Drosophila melanogaster: one gene and its partners. Changing the gene in region 1 together with any one later gene gives a genetic interaction. Each region holds a gene or a part of one and is shown in the gene's direction. Other genes may lie near its edges.

Region 1 (7,548 bases):
ATACTTTATTTCTATTTATAAATAAAAAAGTTGAATAATAATTTCAATCGAAGAAGTTATTTTTGGAAATAGATTGCGGCAGTTAATTACAAGTTTTGTATTATTATAAGTAGAATTCTTGAAGTTTTTTTGGGGTTTACTTGATCAACTTTGTTATGTAAGCAGTTGGACTCTTCAACTAAATGCGTGATGTGAAAAATTAAAAATGAATGTTCTGATTTCACATAAGAAATAATATTATTCGTCTCCAGTCGCGATGACTTCTGACATTTTCTTAAGCCCCTGCTCAAATGTATTATTGTAATTGCTAAGTATGGATTTTTATGCGATTGTACATACATTTTGTTGTCAAACGGGTTGAGAGTTGTTCTCATCGCATCCTTTTTACGATTTGTTAACATTTCCTTGGCCTCGACTGCGTGCCTTTTGCTTTTCTTCCAATGGCAATTGCCATAAAATTCCCATAATTGTCCATTGCAGCGTAAAATTTGGCAACTGCCTTTGGAAGTGAGACAAGGAGGGGAATCTGTAGAAGAGCCAAAAGGGAGAAAGGATGTTGAGATAGGGGTGAAAAGAGACCCGGGGTTTCCTAACAATTGGGCTGTCATAATTTGCTGACTGAACTGGCGCACGCATGTATTTGTTTAACTAATTAGCATTAATTAGTCACTGCGCTTGACGACTCGTATAATTGGTCGCGATCCATGGTCTTTATGCAGTGAGTTTTTCTGTATGTTGCTGCTGTTGTGGTAATCGATAAAAAGCGCCAACAACAAGCCAACTAACTACACACAATGTGGTGCCATCTACCACGCCTCCCCGCCCCCATTCCATCGAAATCTCGGACATAGATGGCGCTGTGGTGCGCGCGTGTTAAGTATTCAAATCAGCCCCCAGAATCGGGCAGTAAGAGCGGGCGGTGAGTCTGAGAGCGTTTTTTGTTCGTTGAAGAGCGGATGCCTTCACACGTACACTGTGCGTGTGTGTTTCGCCCTCGATGACCCCCTGTGACTTGGAGCACCTGCTGAGCTCAGCGAATTCCAGAGCCAGTCCCAGTCGAAGTGCGATACCATCTTTACCTCATTGAAGGCGCTAGTTGAAACAGTGCTATTTCCCCCAGCAACATCCAAAACTCTCTTCGGCTCCCCCCACTTACACACGCACACTCGCTGACAGTCTGGGATCCACACAGACGCTGTATACAGTGTACGTGTGCATAACGCGCCACAAGAGAGCCGCACCAACTGCCATCAACATAACATCAACCACCACCACCATCAATCTGAGTGCTTGTGCAACATGCGCATGTCCGCGCTCTCTTCCAAGTCACACGGACGGGGAGGCACACACACACACACACACACACACACACACACACACACTGGAGCGGGCTGGCGCCGCTGCGCTTAGAGTTTGTGTTCGTGTGCTGGTTCTGGTTCTGGTCTTGGTCTTGTGTTGTCGGTGTGCCGTGCCAGCGATGTGGATATGTTGTCGCCGTGCGCGTTGCTGCCGTCAGTGTAGATTTGTGCTTCGCTCTGTTCGGTTGGAAGGCGCGCGGGCGTCCAGCAGCAACAACAGCAACTACAACAACAGCCGAGGCAAGCGGCCCTGCAACTTCGTCGAGGACTGGGACTTGAACGATTTCGTACTCGCCGTCCATTCACATTCACATTCGACTGGGAGTGTTTCGTTCGAACGGTTCGAAAAATACAAGTTGAACATTTTCGAAAAATTTAACTGAAAGAAGAAACGTTTTTGGAGTCGTATAAAAAATTAAATCAAAAAACAAAAAACACAATCAAAACATCGTGTCGCCGGCGTTGTGAGGAGAAATAATAACATTTTTGTTAACTGTTGCAAACATTGCCTTTAATTGTTTGTTTTGGTCGTAAAATCAAATTTTATGACCAGCAACATAAAAAGCGAACGCCAGCAGCAGCAACAACAACGACTGCAGGCCCCACAAATAATAAACTATTTATGATAATTATAAAAGAGAGAAGAAAATCAAAAACAAACGCCAACCGAAAAAAAAAGAAAAGTGAAAAGAAAACATTAACTGACAAAGGAAAAATTGGAAAAGTTTTGGAAAATTGGATTGACCGAATGAAAACTGAAAAAAGCCAATTTGAAAATACTGCGTGAGTTGCTGACGACCGCAAGCACCCTGTGAAATTCAAGCTGATTCGATCCCCTGTGCAACAACAAAGTTACTCTCTTCGCCCGCTCTTTAGGCAGTGTGCGTGTGTGAGTAAGTCGGCGTGTGCGTGTGACCGCTGACGGACGTTTGTGTGCGTGTGCGGTACGCAAATAAAAGGGGCAAAACTCGAGTAAAGGTGCTCTGAATATTAAAAATAAAAATTATTAAGTCGCGAAAAAAATATAAAGAGACTTAAACAATTAGAAAGGCGTCACTCAGAGGAGTGAGAAAAAAAAGACAGAGAAAGGTCGGTGGGTCGAGGCGATCGACCCCACTGCACCGCCTTTATCCTCGCCGCCGCAGTTCGAGTGCAACGCGTCCAAGATAACCGTAAATATTCCACCCCTCCCCCAAACCCCAACCATCCCGCTGGCGTGCGCTCTCTACGACCCCCACGATGTCTCGGCAGTCGGGTCGCACGCCGCTGCCGGGGCGTGGTGGGGGCATCACACACACACCCACACCCACGTACCCACCGCCCCGCACCCGCATCCGCATCCCCAGGCGCATCCCTCCCTGCCCGTCATGCAGCAGCACCATCTGCAGCAGCAGCAACAGCAGCAGCAGCAGCAGGAGCAGCAGCATCTGCAGGAGCAGCAGCAGCATCTGCAGCAACTGCATCACCATGCGCACCACCACCTGCCTCAGCCTCTCCACACCACCAGCCATCACCACAGCGCGCATCCCCACCTGCAGCAGCAGCAACAGCAGCAGCAACATGCAGTCGTCGCCTCCTCACCCTCCTCGGTGCTCCAGCAGCAGCAACAGCAGTCAACTCCCACCACACATTCCACGCCCACGCATGCGGTTATGTACGAGGATCCTCCGCCTGTGCCACTTGTCGCCGTACAGCAGCAACACCTCCCCGCTCCGCAGCAGCAGCAGCAACTTCAACAGCAGCAGCAACAGCAGCAACAACAGCTGGCGACAACACCGGTGGCCGGCGCCCTCAGTCCTGCCCAAACACCCACTGGACCCTCCGCCCAACAACAGCAACATCTCACATCGCCCCACCACCAGCAACTGCCGCAGCAACAAACCCCGAACAGTGTCGCCAGCGGCGCCTCCTCGAATCTCCAGCAGCAGCAGCAACAGCAGAATGCTGCAGTTGCTCCTGGCCAGACGCAGATCGTTGCGCCGACCACGGCGAGTGTTTCTCCCTCCAGTGTTAGTTCTCAGAAGGAAGGTGAGGTCCCAGAAATATAACTTTCCTTGGGGTTGAAAACCAGCGGATTTCTTATTGGAACTCCATTGGTTATGGGCTTTCAAAGATCGTTGGGAAATATATTTTTTGAAATTTTCTACATCTGAACTGGAAAACTCTCGAAATAAATTGGGGACGTTAAATTGGGAACGGGGTCGTTCCACTTGTTTTTTTTTCCCCCCAGTTGCAATAACGTTTCAGTTGTGCTGATTGCAGCACGTTTTTCAAGGCTGATAAGGCTTTTCTTTAACTCTCCCAGGAATCGTCACGCATTTAATTTATTTACTCAAAATATTTGCGTCTGTTTTATCATTATAGACTATATAATTGCAGGGTGGTAACAACTTTAATTTTGTAAGGAAATTAAAAATTTTTAAAAATATTGTTTGTGAGTGTACTGAAGTTCTTCAAAACTGCATTGGTTTTTTTTTAAAGAGTTTACACAAAAAAAAAAATTAAACGATGATTTGAAACGTAATCGTTATGGTAACCATTTTATTACCTTAAGTGTTGACACGTGTTAAATATACAGATTTATATATAGACGAGGTGTGAATGCACCCACATCCATGACATCGACAAACAATCTAAGGGTTATAGGCACAAATGCCACGCCAAGTGATAAAATGCCAAATGATCAAGGAGGTCGATTTGATCATAGACAGTCGTTAAAATTAGACTTACCAGCCCTAGTGCCAATATTAACAGCAGCAAATCTGCGCTTATCGTTTACTTTCAGACATCAATATGTCCATACAATTAGCGCCACTGCATATACCCGCCATCCGGGCCGGTCCGGGATTCGAGACGGACACCTCGGCGGCGGTCAAGCGGCACACGGCACACTGGGCCTACAACGACGAGGGATTCAATCAGCATTACGGCTCCGGGTACTACGACCGCAAGCACATGTTCGCCTATCCTTACCCAGAAACGCAGTTTCCGGTTGGTGTAAGTATGGCCACAGCGCCACCCACGCCTCCACATCAGTTGTAAGCAACTTCGTTCCAACCCGACCTCATTTCTCCCCCGCAGCAGTACTGGGGCCCCAACTACCGCCCCGATCAGACCACCTCTGCCGCAGCGGCGGCGGCCTACATGAACGAAGCGGAGCGCCACGTGAGCGCCGCCGCCCGACAGTCCGTCGAGGGCACATCGACGTCCAGCTATGAGCCGCCCACCTACTCCTCGCCAGGCGGCCTGCGCGGCTATCCCAGCGAGAACTACTCCAGCTCAGGTGAGTCCAGACCGGCCAGAGTCGGCACACTTAAGGGTAACGAGGTTAGGCACACTGGAAATAATTTTGAGCATCTTGCAACTCTAGTTTGGGAGGAGAAATTTTAAAGATTAAAAATTAAAAATTTACTGTTTACAATTCTTAAAATTTTTAATAAAATATTTGGTTATTCATATGAAATTAAATTAAAGTGAAAAATTATACGAATTCAAAATTCTGTTTAAAAAGAGGCGTTCAAATTCCACCTAAATGTTTTTAATTGTAAAATATATATTTATAGACCGTCAAATTTTCCAATGAATCGATAATTATTTGGAAGTGTTTTTTATATGGTGCTATTATTTTTTTTCCTAAAAGCCAAGCCAATTATTTAAACAGCCCTAAAATATTAAGCATCCTACAATATAAAGTTCAAGATTATTTGATTTTCCTATGTGCACTAGACTTTTCGTCGTCGTATCGGTTGAAATAGCAAATTGCGAAACCGTCAAGTTTGTCGTTCAATTAGCGTAGTGCAAAACGGCCCATAAATCGATACTCGCTATTTGGCTAGCGTTACGCCTTTATGTGGGTGCGAAAGTCATTGGGGTTTGCATTCTATGGGGTTGCCTGTTTATGTTCGTGTCTTATCACCAGGTGTTTTTCAACTGCCAGAATTGTATCTGTCGACTAGTCATATTTTCCCAGTAGTATCCATGGTATCCATAGTAAAGACTCGTTATTATGGCGGAATATGTCAGTTAAGTGACCTCGCCAGCCAATTTTACAATTGGAATTCAGGTCTCTTAGGCTCGATAATTAATTTCCAATCTGACCTAACTGTCCTAACTGTTCAATGCTACCAAGACTAATCGAAGAAATCAGATTAGATTCGAAAAGCTCTTCACTCGTGCTGAACTAGCGTTTAAATTAAAATAAATCCAACTTGTCACTTTATTTCAACATTAATTTAATTGCTTCATTTGGTCGGCCAATGAGCGGGAACGAATGTATTCATTTAGTGTTATCCACTCGAGTGTGAATATGGGCCTCATGCCAATTCGGAGCTCCGCTCCCCGTACCGCACCAATTAAGAGGCCATAAATGAGGAATTGAATAATTTCGTATTACGCTTATTGCTAAACAATTTCCGTAATTGCTCTATAAACTTAACGATCTGATATTGCACCGAACACCGAGCAACAAAACCATCGGACCACCCGCACTTGCGGTTTAATGAAGTTAACCATGTAGTTTAACCCCATTACTTGATGATGTTTTCAGGAGCCTCTGGTGGATTATCCGTGGGAGCAGTGGGTCCTTGCACGCCCAATCCCGGACTGCACGAGTGGACCGGTCAGGTGTCCGTCCGGAAAAAGCGCAAGCCGTACTCGAAGTTCCAGACCCTGGAGCTGGAGAAGGAGTTTCTTTTCAATGCGTATGTTTCCAAGCAAAAGCGCTGGGAATTGGCCAGAAATTTGCAGCTGACCGAGCGACAGGTGAGTCCATAAACCTACTGACTTGAACTGAATTCATTAAACAGGCGTTCCTTTCAGGTCAAGATATGGTTCCAGAATCGGCGCATGAAGAACAAGAAGAACTCACAGCGCCAGGCCAATCAGCAGAACAACAACAACAATTCGAGCAGCAACCACAACCACGCGCAGGCGACCCAGCAGCACCACAGCGGCCACCACCTGAACCTTAGCCTGAACATGGGTCACCATGCCGCCAAGATGCACCAGTGACCCTTGGACAACAGCAGCGCTGGCGCCATGGGCTTTGCCACCTACTAGCAGTTAGCCAATCCGAGTTCGGGTAACCCCAGCTCGAATCCCAACCCCATGTCCGATCCGAATCACCATCATCTAATCAAGAACGAGCTGGCCATGGACTTTCCATGCTAGTCCAGCGATTGGAAGGGCGATTCCAGCCAGGCCGAGTTCAGTCGGTTAAATGTACAAAAACCAGAGATCTCTAGCATGCGGGATAGGAATATGTGACCACAATGAGGAGCAAGGATGTGGATGAGCAACTGCCCAGAAGTGCGCAGGCGTCGCTGATGTGTGACCAACCGACGTTGATGCAAATGCAGTTTATTATTAAGTCAGTTCTACGGATCCCAGAGATCCAAGCCCCAACACGATAATGCAGCTTAGTTCGGTAGTTGAATATAGATACGAGTAAGATGAAGAGTAAGCAGCAGCAGTAGCAGATGCACTTGAAATTCGCAACTGTACGAAAATATATGTATGTACGTATTTCTCTCAACGCTCTCATTAGCCTAGGCGAGCACTATGAATTTTCCGAACTATAAATTATGAATATGAATATACTTAAACGTCAGTGAATATAACCCCGCATAAATTATGAATACACGCGTTCGAGTAGTAGATTTTACCATACCTATCCAATTAAGAGCGGCCACAAGGCGGCTGAGTTAGGCTGAGCAGCAGAACACATTTTAGACCCAGATAAATGTTCTTGAAACACAAATTGAAATTGTTTAACAATTTTCGGACCCCTCACAGCTCCGCAAACAAGAAGACACACTCCGCAGTCTAGGATAAATTTTGTCGTATAATGTTCGTCGTGTCGTGTCCTTTGATACCTTCTAAGTTCCTGTATATAAACTAAGACATTGCGCTGATTTCCGGCCGAAGCGAGCACTCGATAACTAAATTACATCAGATATATGTATATGTATATTGCGTACACGCAGAGATATTCAATATTTGTATAATATGAACTCGGATTCGATTTTAGCAAATGGTTAATTGTAAGTTGCAAAAATTTCAATGAGTGTGTGCATGTTTACCCCATAGTTGAAGTCGCTTTCGAATTAAATTAACTCTTAAACCAAGGAAAACACTTAACAAAACTACTCGTAAAGCTAAAGCAACAAAAACTTAAAAGATACACACTTAA
Region 2 (4,710 bases), on another chromosome or scaffold:
AGAAATGAAGTATGTCATTAAGTTGAAGTACATATCTACTTTACTACCATACCATATTGACAACGCTTTACAAATAATGATAACTTATGATACCACATCAAATTTCTTGTGACAATTTTAATAAGAAGATCAAATATGCTTATCAACCATATTGCCGGGCCTTTAAAAAGAGAGCCAATTACTTCAGTATCAGTTCTTTATCAAGCTTCAACCTCAGTGGTTGTCCAAAATGTTTAGCTCTACGAGAATTATTTTGTGCGCATTTCTATTGCTGTATCCTTACGGATCCCTGATAGAAGCCCAGGAGGGCAGGCGCTATGTGTGTCTATTATCAGATCCTCCCAATCAGTGCAGTGAATATTGCGTATCCGCACTGCAGCCGGTCATCGATCACCTTTCGAAGGAGCAACAGGACTGGGGAGCCTGCGAGGTGAAACTTAATGGAAGCGTCGCGAAACTGGATAAGATCGAAGACCAGTTGACGGCGACACAAATCCAAATAGAAGCCCAGCAAGCATTCCTTGTGAACAACATTTCGAAGGCAATCAAAACCGAGGACCTTGAGCAAAAACTAAAGGATATCGAAGGCAATCAGACAGCGCTGAGTAATCAGTTGAAAGATGGACAGAAGAGGACGGAAAACCAGTTGACAGCCATCCAGAAGACTCTATCCGATATCGAAAGGAAACTCGTGCTGCAGAGATATCAACAGATAGGATCGAGATATTTCTACATCGAACACAACTTACAGGTGAACTGGAGGACCGCCGAGCAGAGGTGCATTGAAATGGGCGGCCACCTCGCAGCATTCCAAAATGCCGAGGAATACAACGCCATAGTGGGCCAATTGAACAAGGCGAACTACTGGCTGGGTGTCAACGATCTGGCCAAGCAGGGCGAGTTTATATCCTTGGCCTCCGGCAAACGAGCTACCTACTTCAAGTGGCGCAAAAATGAACCCAAATACAATAATCCTACCCAGCACTGCGCCTACGTTTTTGGGCACGAAAACATTATGATCGTTCTGTCCTGTACCACTGACGTTATGCATTTCATTTGCCAATCAGACAGTGATGTTTAGTTTTAAAGTATCAACACATGTATGAATGAATATTACAACAAAACCACAAATACTATAATTCACTTTACTGCATTTGATGCAAAAATTGATGGGAACATTTAATAACGCTTTTAGCAATAATTTTTCTTTGTGAGAGGGTTTAAGGGCAATTTTTTTTGACAACAAGTGATTGCCACAGATAGGAAATTATTTCGTTTCAAATTGTCAAAAAAGTCGACATGGCGCCGTAAATAAATTGGCTGAAATGAGTAATAGGCTTAAGAGATTGCTGTTATCGAATTTATTTTATTTGTTTTTCTGGTTTTGGTTCCCCGCACGTCGTAAATTAAGATTGATTCCTCGTTAAGATTATTAAATTTATCGTACTCGACAAGCACTCTTTATAAGCAACAAATGAATAAAGAAATTTTCGACTTTAATCACAAAAACTGGCTTATATCAATTTTAAAAACTCCTATTAAACAAGGCAATAAACTGTGTAGGTTCGTATTTCAATTAATATTTGCTAACTAAAATATTTTTGGAATACGATATTTTTGTGCCCTAGTTGCACATCTCTAGCATATTATAAGCCGATAGCTCCGGCCGATTCCCATGGCGTTCCGCTTGGCATCCACCTCTGGCCACTCTAATCAAAACAATACAGGAAAACAGGCATTTTTGTGTACAAATATTAAAAAAAACATTCTGCGCTACAAAAATGGCCTTGGAGTCCGGCAGCAGCAGCTCGGAGTCGGGCAGCTCATCCACAAGCGGATCCACCAGTTCGGAAACGGGCAGCAGCTCGGACACGGATTCCAGCAGTGCGACGCCGGAGGAGAAGCCATCCACGAATTCCTCCGCCAAATCCCAGACGCAAACACAACAACAAACTAATTCCGGAAATGCACAGAGAAGAAAGCCTGTTCCTGCGGCGTCGGAGGATAAACCCAAGCCGAGCGTAGCGCCATCTAGCAAAAAAGTAAACAATCCTCCCAAAAGTAAACTCTCCAGCGATGACGACGAATATGAGGACTCGGCGCCGCCGGCCAAAAAGAACTCACGTGCAATGGGCAGTTCCACTGTAACAGCGGCAGCTGCCGCCTCAGCAGCCAGGAGAAAACCACCCGCGTCCGTCAACAAGCCAAGCAATCCCGCTAACAAACCGAGCAATCCTACCCAGCGATCGGCCAACAACAACACAAATCGATCACTGGAGAACGGCGAGGGCAAGCGACCCTCGCTCTCCTCCTCGTCCAATAGCACAGATGACTCTATGAAGATCGTTAAAAACGGGCGGAAGGTTCCCCTCAAAATGGCCAGCACGGTGAGGCCCAAACAAATCCGAGGAAAATTGCCGCCGGCAAAGAAAAACGGCGGGGGACCGGTGATCAGCAGTGACGGAAGTTCGGGCTCCGAGAGTGGCTCCAACTCGGGCGACGAATCAAGTTCAGGAAGCGAGTCTGAGGGAAGTGATTCCAGCAACTCCTACAGCTCGCAGCCAGTAAAAGGAGGAGCTAAAGGTAGGCAGGGTATAAAGTATAGAATTTATGTAAGGATTTTAATAATATTTAAATTTAACTCTTATTATTATAGGTAAGAGAAGCGGACCAACAAAAATCCAAAACTCCGACAGCGAAGAAGAGCGAAAAGACAAGGCCAATCCCATGAGGAAACTGACGCGATCACTCAGCATGCGAAGGACAAAACAGCAACCCAAACAGGAAACCGATTCTGAATCCGATGGAGACCTAGAAGATGACAAAATTATGATCTCCAAAAGTCCCGCCAAAAAGCCAGCGCCCTCGAATTTGAACGCCAGCAAAAGCAAAGTGAAAAGGGAACCAATCGGAATCAGCAGTGGCGTGCTGAGCTCCATTAAATCCCGACCCGTGTCACCGATTACCCAGACTGAGAAGAAGTGTCCCATCGAGGGCTGCGATTCATCCGGACATCTGAGTGGCAATTTGGATAAGCACTTTTTGCCGGAGGCCTGTCCTATCTATCACAACATGTCCGCCTCGGAGTGCAAAGAGCGTGCCAATGAGAGAAAACTGAGGAATGAACAGCGACTAAAGATGCCGGTTAACATTGTGACGGCGCCGGGTAACCAAAACACCAATCTCAAGACGCTCTCGCCTGAGCAGCGCGAGTTTCTGGCCAAGATTCGCGAGTCAAGGGCTAACTTTAAGCCGGCGAATAACAATTTTTTAGACTCGAAGGTGAGGATAGTGGGTTAGCTTGAAAGTCCATATGAGACTATTGCTAACTATTTGATTACGCTTCAGGTAAAGCTGGAAAAAGACGTAACGGACGAGGACCGGGAACCAAATCTGGCAGGCCTGGTGCCTGACTATGATTTGCAATTGTTCCGGGAAGCGCAAGCTCAAGCATCCGAAAGGATCGAAGACGAACTCAAGGACCTGCCCGTGGGAAAGGGAATAAAGTAAGTAGTAGTAATATAACAAACTTATGGAGATCAATTTACAACCCTTACGTCTGACAGATATATCAGCATGGGCAAGTACAAGATGAAGGTCTGGTATCAATCCCCTTATCCGGACGATGCTGCCCGCCTGCCCAAAATGTATATCTGCGAATTCTGCCTGCGCTACCAAAAATCAGAGACGGGCATCAAGCGGCATGCCGAGAAATGCGTCTGGCGGCATCCGCCGGGCGATGAGATATACCGCAAGGGCAAACTACAGGTGTGGCAGGTGGACGGGAAACGTTATAAGCAATACTGTCAGCATCTGTGCCTGCTAGCAAAATTCTTTCTGGATCACAAAACCCTCTACTACGATGTGGAGCCCTTCCTTTTCTACATTATGACGCTGGCCGATGTGGATGGATGTCATATTGTTGGTTATTTTAGCAAGGTAAGTAAAGTATTTATTCGTAATGTATATTTTCTTTGGTAATTGTTAAAAACTGAATATGCTAATATGCTAATCAAACATCAAGCAGTTGAAATAACAAATCCACTTTGATTTTCCAGCTCATTGAATTATAAATTTTAAGTTAAATATAATTTTAAGTTGAGTTACATATTGAAGCAGTTAAAGTATCAAAATGAATATTTAATAAGGAGCTTAATAGAGGGCTTAACTACAAAAATTAATGCTTCCCTTTATTCCTAAGCAATTGGAAACCAAAGCGGAAAATCTGATCCTGCTCTAATGATTTCGATTCCTAATTGCTTATTATTTGAATAGTCGCGCTGCAATTGTGCGCCAGAATTTTCCAGAACCTTTATGGTTATTCCCCAGCATAAAATTGAATAATAACATTTTACAGTTTTATGATTCCTTTATGTCTGGAGACGGAATAGAGATGCGAGGAATGTAGAAGCCGGTATCCCAGACTCCCAGAATGGCAGCCACAGCCCATGTACGGTGCATACATATGTACCGTCAAGCAGACTATATGGTTGTATCCAGATGCAGACAGTGAGCTCTGCCTTGACCATGCCCACCAAAAACAGCAGATGATTTTTCCATTTAATTTTTTTGTCAACGTTTTCGGGTAAATAAGCAACAGACAGAGAGAAACAAGCGGCGCGAACGAGAGAGTCATTTCCCCTGGCTTTAAAAAGCAGCCACGGTTTCTTGACCTCCCACCAGAATGTACGGAAAATACGGGTCCGGCGA
Region 3 (6,729 bases), about 12 Mb from region 1:
GTTTTCTATACCACTTCAGGCATTGTCGTCGTCTTGGCAGTTGTCGTTTTGTCTGTTGCCCCTCTTGACCAATTTCCTGCTGCCCGTTTTTGTTCGTTCTGGCCGTTCGCTTGGGTTGGGGTTGAGCCATAGGCTCTCCAGCAGAGCGACTGGCCCGCTAATTCAAGCAGTTCGGTAATTTCCAAATTGGCGGCCCGTAATCAAACTGTAATGCGGCCGACTCGTCATTAAGCACGCAAGCAGCAACATCACGGCAGCAACATCAATCCAGAAAGCAACCAAAGGCAGAAAAAAGCTGCAAAAAAACAGCACAGCAGAGCAGAAATAAGCACACAAAGGGACGCACGAGTGCAAAGCTGGCAGCTACATCAGATCCAAAACCCATACAAATAATACGGCGGAAGCACCAATAAAGAAAAGGCTTAAAAGCAGCAGCGACAGCACCATAAAAGTCGGCATAAAGCTACAACACTATAGTGTCGATATTAACCCAAACCAGACTCCAAAAACCATCCACAATCCCAGATGCAATGAAGACAATTCATTAACAAAACCATGGCAACAACAGTAGAAAAGCAGGAAATCATTAAGGCTATCAAACAATAGTATCCATTAACTTGTATACATGCACCAATCATGTTCTTTCTTAAGAGTCTTAGAATAATTAGCACATAATACGAATTATTAGTTTTTAGTAGACAATAAGAAGCATTAGTTTTACTTTTTGGATTAAAAGACATGCTTCAATGCAAATCCGCCACATAGGTTTTCATTTTACTTGCACATCGAATAGCAACAACACTGAAATGCAATGGCAACTTGACAGCAACAACTTTCAGCCCCACAACAACAACAGCTGCAACAGCGATTCCAACAAACATATGCTTTGAGAAAAAAAAAAACAAATATGTACCAAGAGAGACAGCCAGACTCACCAACACACTCGCACGCGGACACACCTCCCCAAATAACAAAACAGCTGATTTGTTATCAGCAGTTGCTGAATGAGCCCCACAGAGCGAGCCACTCTCTTGCAGCAACAACAAAATGGGGGGAAAAAAACGACGCCAACGGCGGCTGCTATGGCAACGACCTTCCTTATTTATTACAATGTGTGTAATTCCCAGCCGTTTTCTCACTCTCTCTCGCTCTCTCGCTGTGTGTGTGCGAGCGAGACAGTGCCCTTTCCTGACTTAAATTGCCCATTTTTTAGTACAGAAATGTTTAATATCGCTGTCTGTTTGAGTTTTTGCAATTTGTTTTCCTTTTTTGGTCTGCAGAAAGTCTCTCAGTGCGCAGTTTAGCTTTCGTATTCCAAAACCGGAGAGGTTCTTGGGGTATTTGTTGTATTCTTATATTAAGGAACTACGTAGGTGTGTTCGAAGTTGCGTCGCAGAGGATTTTTAGGCAGTTGTGTGGAGATCACACTGCTTATGTTGATATTATATGGGTTTTAAGTTTTAGGGGTGTACCAAAGTGCTCAGAAATACATAAGTAAAAATAACCCATTCCCATTTTAACCAGGTGATGCTGATAGATTCATTCAACTCCCCGTTTTTAGTGCGGCTCAATTAGCTCTCAACTCGCCGTTAACCCCTTTAGAACCCATCTGCTTTTACGACCCCATAAAGCTGCTCCCAAAAATGCGTTTGCCGTAAAAAATTAAAGCACTAAAACGGTTAAAGACATCGTATTACAAAATAATGTGCGCTCTCTCGCTCTTTTCTCGCCTCTTTGTCTCTCTCTGTCTCGACCAAAGCAGTTGTAAAGATGGCCGCCGTGTAGTAACATGGCTGAATGTATACCACACACACACACGCAGGCACAGAGAGAGCGGTCACAGAGAGGGAGAGAGAGCGGCCATTGAATGCAATTTATATAGGAAAGCAACAATAACAATAACTCTGCGCTCGTCTCCTGCGACTGTGTGTGTGCTGAATACGTCACGGAACATCAGCTGTGCCGAACAGCAGGTAGGCGTCGGCAGAATGGAGCGAAGACGACGTTTCGAGTCAGTCGCTTCAAAGAGCTCGATTCGTGCGGACATAGGAGGAGATAAAGCGTGGTCTGTGGCACGTAATTAACGAAGAAGAGAGTTAAGAAGATTCAACGTCGCGTCGAAGGTGAACACGCAGTTAAAACCCAAAAACAAACGCAACGCAGCCAATTGTGATACGAAAAATAAGTAAATCGGCAGACAATCAACAAAAACAATAAAAGCAAAGCCTACACACAGGCGTAGGCGTCTAGCCAACAGCTGTTTTTCGTGCGCGCTCCGTATTCAGCATACTCGCTGCGCTTACAAACGTCGGCAGAGACCGCGGCAGAGAAGCAAGCGGCGGCAGCAAAACTACAAAGCAGAAACTACAATTCAGATCGCGTTTTTCTTCGGAGTGGATGAGACGTTCGTTCGGCAGTTCTATTGCGCATAGAACTAACAAGTTACCTACTCCGCGAACTCACCCCCGCGAGAAAAGAACAGAACAGAGCATAACCGAATGGAAAGAAGACAAGGAGTAGCTAAAAAGCAACGGTTAAGTTAGCCAGCAAAAACGGGCAAAAAGACTGAAAACACACGTGGATTGTTCACTCACCCCGACACGCGCACCCACTCGCACTCACACTCACCCAGCAGCTCCAACTGTTCGCTGCATTTATGTAAAACCAAACAAAGACTGACTAAAACGCTAATAAATATACAATAAACGTAACGAAACAAAGTTAAACACGCGAACAGCAGCTAATATTATACGGGTTAAAGCGAATTCCAAAGCAAAGCAAACACACATATGGATTAAGGTTCCTCCTATCTCAAAACACAAAAACAAAAGCAACAACCAACTCACGGATTACCTGCAGCGGCAAATTTACCGTTAGCCGCTCTTTTTGGATTACCAGTGCCAATAAAACCACAAAAGTGAATTTTTTCGAAAGTGAAGAAAGCGAAAAACATCCGCAAAATGATAAAAATCTAAATCTAAGTAAATAAGCAAACCAAAAGCGAATTCTGTGTTACCGAAACGAGAGCAAAAGCTAAAAGATCCCCTGAATACAGCAATGACGATGGCCGCCTGTTATGCCAACTACGACATGTCGTCCCTGTCGCACGGCATGTCGGCCCTGTCCGCCCTGCAGCAGCAACAGCAGCAGCAACAGCAGCAGCACAGCCAGACGCAGCAGCAGCATCATCACCAGCAGCAGCAGCAACACATGTACCACGCCGCCGTGGCTGCCCACCAGCAGCAGTTGCTGCAACAGCAGCAGCAGCAGCAACACCACCGCCATCACCACCAGCCCGCCAACACCAGCAGCAGCAGCAACTCGCGCCACAGCCATGCGGCGGCGACCCAAACGCAGGTCGCCGCCGCGGTTGCCAACAGCAGACAACAACAACAACAGCAACAACAGCAGCAACAGCAGCAGCAGCAGCAGCAGACTGCCAGCAGCAACAGCAACGCAGCCCCCGCTCCATCGCCGCAGAAGGACTACAGCATCCCGCTGCACGTGGACTGCAGCGTGGAGTACGAGCTGCCCAACCAGCCCAAGCCGCCGGCGGGCCAGAGAGTGGAGCCCCTGCTGATGATCCACCCGTGCTACTTCCGCAAGATGGAGTCGCAGCGGCGCAGCCCGTTCGTGAACAACATGCATGCGACCGCGCGGGCGGTGAGCAGCAGCTCGCTGAGCAGCGGAGCGGCCCTGGGCGGAGGCGGAAGCGGTGCGGCGGTGGCCACGGCGCCCAGCAGTAGTGCCGCGCGGCGTGGAGCCCGGGCGGCTACGAGCGCCCAGCAGCAGCAACAACAGCAGCAACGCTACCAACAGCAACAGCAGCAACTGCGGCAACAGCACCAGCAGATGTCGCAGATGTCGCAGCAGGCCCACTATCCCCAGCAACAGTCTAGTCTGGTCCGCCAGCACCAGCAGCAGCAACAGCAGCAGCAGCAGCAGCAACGTGCCAGCAGCAACCAAAGCCAACGCCAAAGCCAAAGTCAGAGCCAGAGCCAGAGCCATGCAGCCAACTCAGCGGCGGCAGCTGCGGCCCAGGCCTCGATAGCCGCCGCAGCCGCCGGCCAGTGGGATCAACTGGCTGCGCTGGCCGCCCGCACCGCCCTCACGCCGCACCACATGCTGCATCCCCACAGCCACTACGCGGCCAAGGGTAGTGGCGGCGGAGCAGGGGGCGGGAAGCGGGACGCCATGATCTCCGGCAGCTACGGACAGACGGCGGTCGCCTCGGGGAAGCTGCAACAGTCGCAGGTGCAGCAGCAGCAGCCACAGCAGCAACAGCAACACTGCCTGCCTCCGCCGCCGTGGGACGCGACGTCCATGCTGATGGACCGCTCGCCGATGGCCACAGTTCCTAGCAATTATCAGGCCGGCCCTGACACCAATCCCATGCGCCTCTACTCGGCCACGCCCACCGCCGGAGCGGCCTCGGGCGGGTCGGCGTCGGTGGGCGGAGGCGGGGCGGTGAGTGGTGCGGGGGCGACGGGAGCAGTGAACACGGCCACCGACAAGTTGAGCGGAAAGTACCGCCAGTACTTGCGGTCCCAGCGGATGCACCCGTACGCGGCGGCCGCCTCGCTCAACTTGGCAGCCGCCGCCGCTGCCGCCGGCCAGACCTCGTTTGTGCCGTTCAGTTCGGCGGCCACGGCGGTGGCGGCCACGCCCACATTCCAGCACCTGCCGCAGATCTCCTGCTACAACGTGTGATGCAGCACCAGCAGCAACCAGGACAACGGCAACATCAGCAGCAGCAACAGCAACTTGCAACACATGAGACAGGCGCCTACCAAGTACGCGTCGATGAAATAGCCGCCTCAAGGAATAATTAATAGATCCTCCCCTAAAACAGTACTATATATACACACCCATCAAAGCTTTTAGAATCAAAAGTAATTAACTCTAAAAATATTAAGAGATGAAACAAAATTCTGTCTAGCTGCTATGAGAAATTGTTGTCCGACGGTGAGAAAAGAGGAAATGAGCGATCTTTTTTTCTTTTAGTAATGGTAGTAATTGATAAACGATACAAAAACAAACAACAACAAAAAAAAAAAATGCAAACTATTGTAGTGATATTTGTTATAAAATAATTTTAGTAATTAATTTAATTTAAATTAAACAACCAACAAGAAACAACAGCAACCGCTCTGTGTAAGCCAACCACATAAACAATAACAACTGCAACAACGGCAAAAACAAGAACTGCAACAACAACAACAACGGCAGCAACATTAAACAAAACAATTGCTAAAAGTTACACATACGCATATTTAATTACAAATCAGCAAAATGTTACAACAACCATTTACCGAAAGAATACGAAAATATGAAAGGAAAATTATTACCAAACGATGGAGAGAGAAGAGTAAAGCAGAAAAAAGCAACACAAAAAATACGAATAAAAATTATTCAAAATTATGCAACGTAATTTGAAGCGAGATATGCAAAAATTAAGTAAATTGTGTTTTCAATTAACGTAGCGAGCAAGAAAAGCATAGTTCAAGTGATTTGGCCGCGGCAAGGAAAACTCCCCTTGCCGTCGGCTTTTGTGGCCAACTTTTCACACTTCCCACCACCACCGACCGACTAACTCCTCTTTCTGTTCGCCTTGATTCGATTTTCATCTTCGCTCCCTTTGTTTCCTCATTCTGCTCCGCCTCATGGCCTCCTCCTCTGCGGTGAGCCGTGATTGATTATTGTCATTGATGGAGGACCGGGCAGCGGGTTGGGGTGACCTCGGCGCACAGCACAGGGGTCCCTCGCTAATGGCAAACCGTTGAGCTGAGACGAATTTCGAAAACTTACAGGGCTCCGATTTATGGCTAGACATGAGGACGTCTCTTGAAATTTCACTATTAATATCTTATACTTAGATACTTATATACTATTTAATGTATTTGAGCCAGCTGTTGAAGGACTAAATCTGGCAACACACTACGATATCGAGAGATGTTGATTTCCACTCTATGTACATATATGTGTTCCACGACGTCGGTTATTTCGCTTTTACGCCTTTGTTTTCGATTAGAAGTTTAAATACGTTCTTGTTCACGCCACCAGCGGCCTCACTGTACTTACCTTTCAAAGACCAGCATTCTCGAAGTTCATTCGTTACAGTGATATAACCGAACTGCCTTTGCCTTCAGTGCTTACGGCTCTAATTTTGGTCTTTGTTGCGAGGTGAAAACGCAGCAAAATCTAATGGTTTCGAGTGGCCAGGAAACGCGAGATGTTATCAGCTGAAATTGTTTTTGCTCGCCCCCAAGGTCCCTCGGGAAAGTGTGTGCTTTCATTACTGATTGCATGTCGAGGCGATTGGCGCGGTTCCATGGGAGTTGCTGGGTTCCGGAAAGCAAATAGCTGAGTAATTTATGCATGGGCAGGAAAACCCGCTGAGGATTCAGCGCGCCATTAAGCCAATCGTCGAATTAATTAAGCCAAAAAAGAGTTTTCAACTGAAATGAACGACATCCGCTGCCGGGGGACCGGCACTGACTCATCTGTCCGCTTTAGGCTGCCCTACATCCAAACAAGTCCGACTCTACTCCACGACCATGCGGTCGCAATCCACTCGAGATTCAAGAAAGAAAAGACTTTAGTCCAATTGCAGAACGACGGAACCATTGCAGGAATTTGTGGGACCAGTTTAGACGCATCGGTTAGTCGAAGAAATGGCCAGACCACATATTAATCCATAACTTATTCAACATACAAGTCATTTCATTA

What was found. A genetic interaction does not mean that the proteins touch.
Region 2: of Abd-B (region 1) and chm, changing one enhances a phenotype caused by changing the other (phenotypic enhancement), as found in Drosophila melanogaster (one study listed by BioGRID).
Region 3: of Abd-B (region 1) and corto, changing one enhances a phenotype caused by changing the other (phenotypic enhancement), as found in Drosophila melanogaster (one study listed by BioGRID).

The regions. Positions count from the first base shown.
Region 1 is NT_033777.3:16,928,209-16,935,756, reverse strand, and holds the start of Abd-B (abdominal B), read left to right. Parts: upstream 1-1,514; 5' UTR 1,515-2,725; coding exon 2,726-3,386; intron 3,387-4,143; coding exon 4,144-4,355; intron 4,356-4,439; coding exon 4,440-4,641; intron 4,642-5,904; coding exon 5,905-6,119; intron 6,120-6,176; coding exon 6,177-6,368; coding exon of another isoform or gene 6,369-6,527; 3' UTR 6,528-7,548. UniProt on the Drosophila melanogaster protein: Sequence-specific transcription factor which is part of a developmental regulatory system that provides cells with specific positional identities on the anterior-posterior axis.
Region 2 is NT_033779.5:7,410,726-7,415,435, forward strand, and holds the start of chm (chameau), read left to right. Parts: upstream 1-1,691; 5' UTR 1,692-1,781; coding exon 1,782-2,583; intron 2,584-2,656; coding exon 2,657-3,282; intron 3,283-3,348; coding exon 3,349-3,506; intron 3,507-3,566; coding exon 3,567-3,939; intron 3,940-4,710. Other genes in the region: CG15818 (uncharacterized protein), read left to right, coding at 230-1,081.
Region 3 is NT_033777.3:5,082,354-5,089,082, reverse strand, and holds the start of corto (corto), read left to right. Parts: upstream 1-2,010; 5' UTR 2,011-3,057; coding exon 3,058-4,710; 3' UTR 4,711-6,729. UniProt on the Drosophila melanogaster protein: Essential protein required for proper condensation of mitotic chromosomes and progression through mitosis. Binds to specific polytene chromosome sites, many of which are shared with the posterior sex combs (Psc) protein.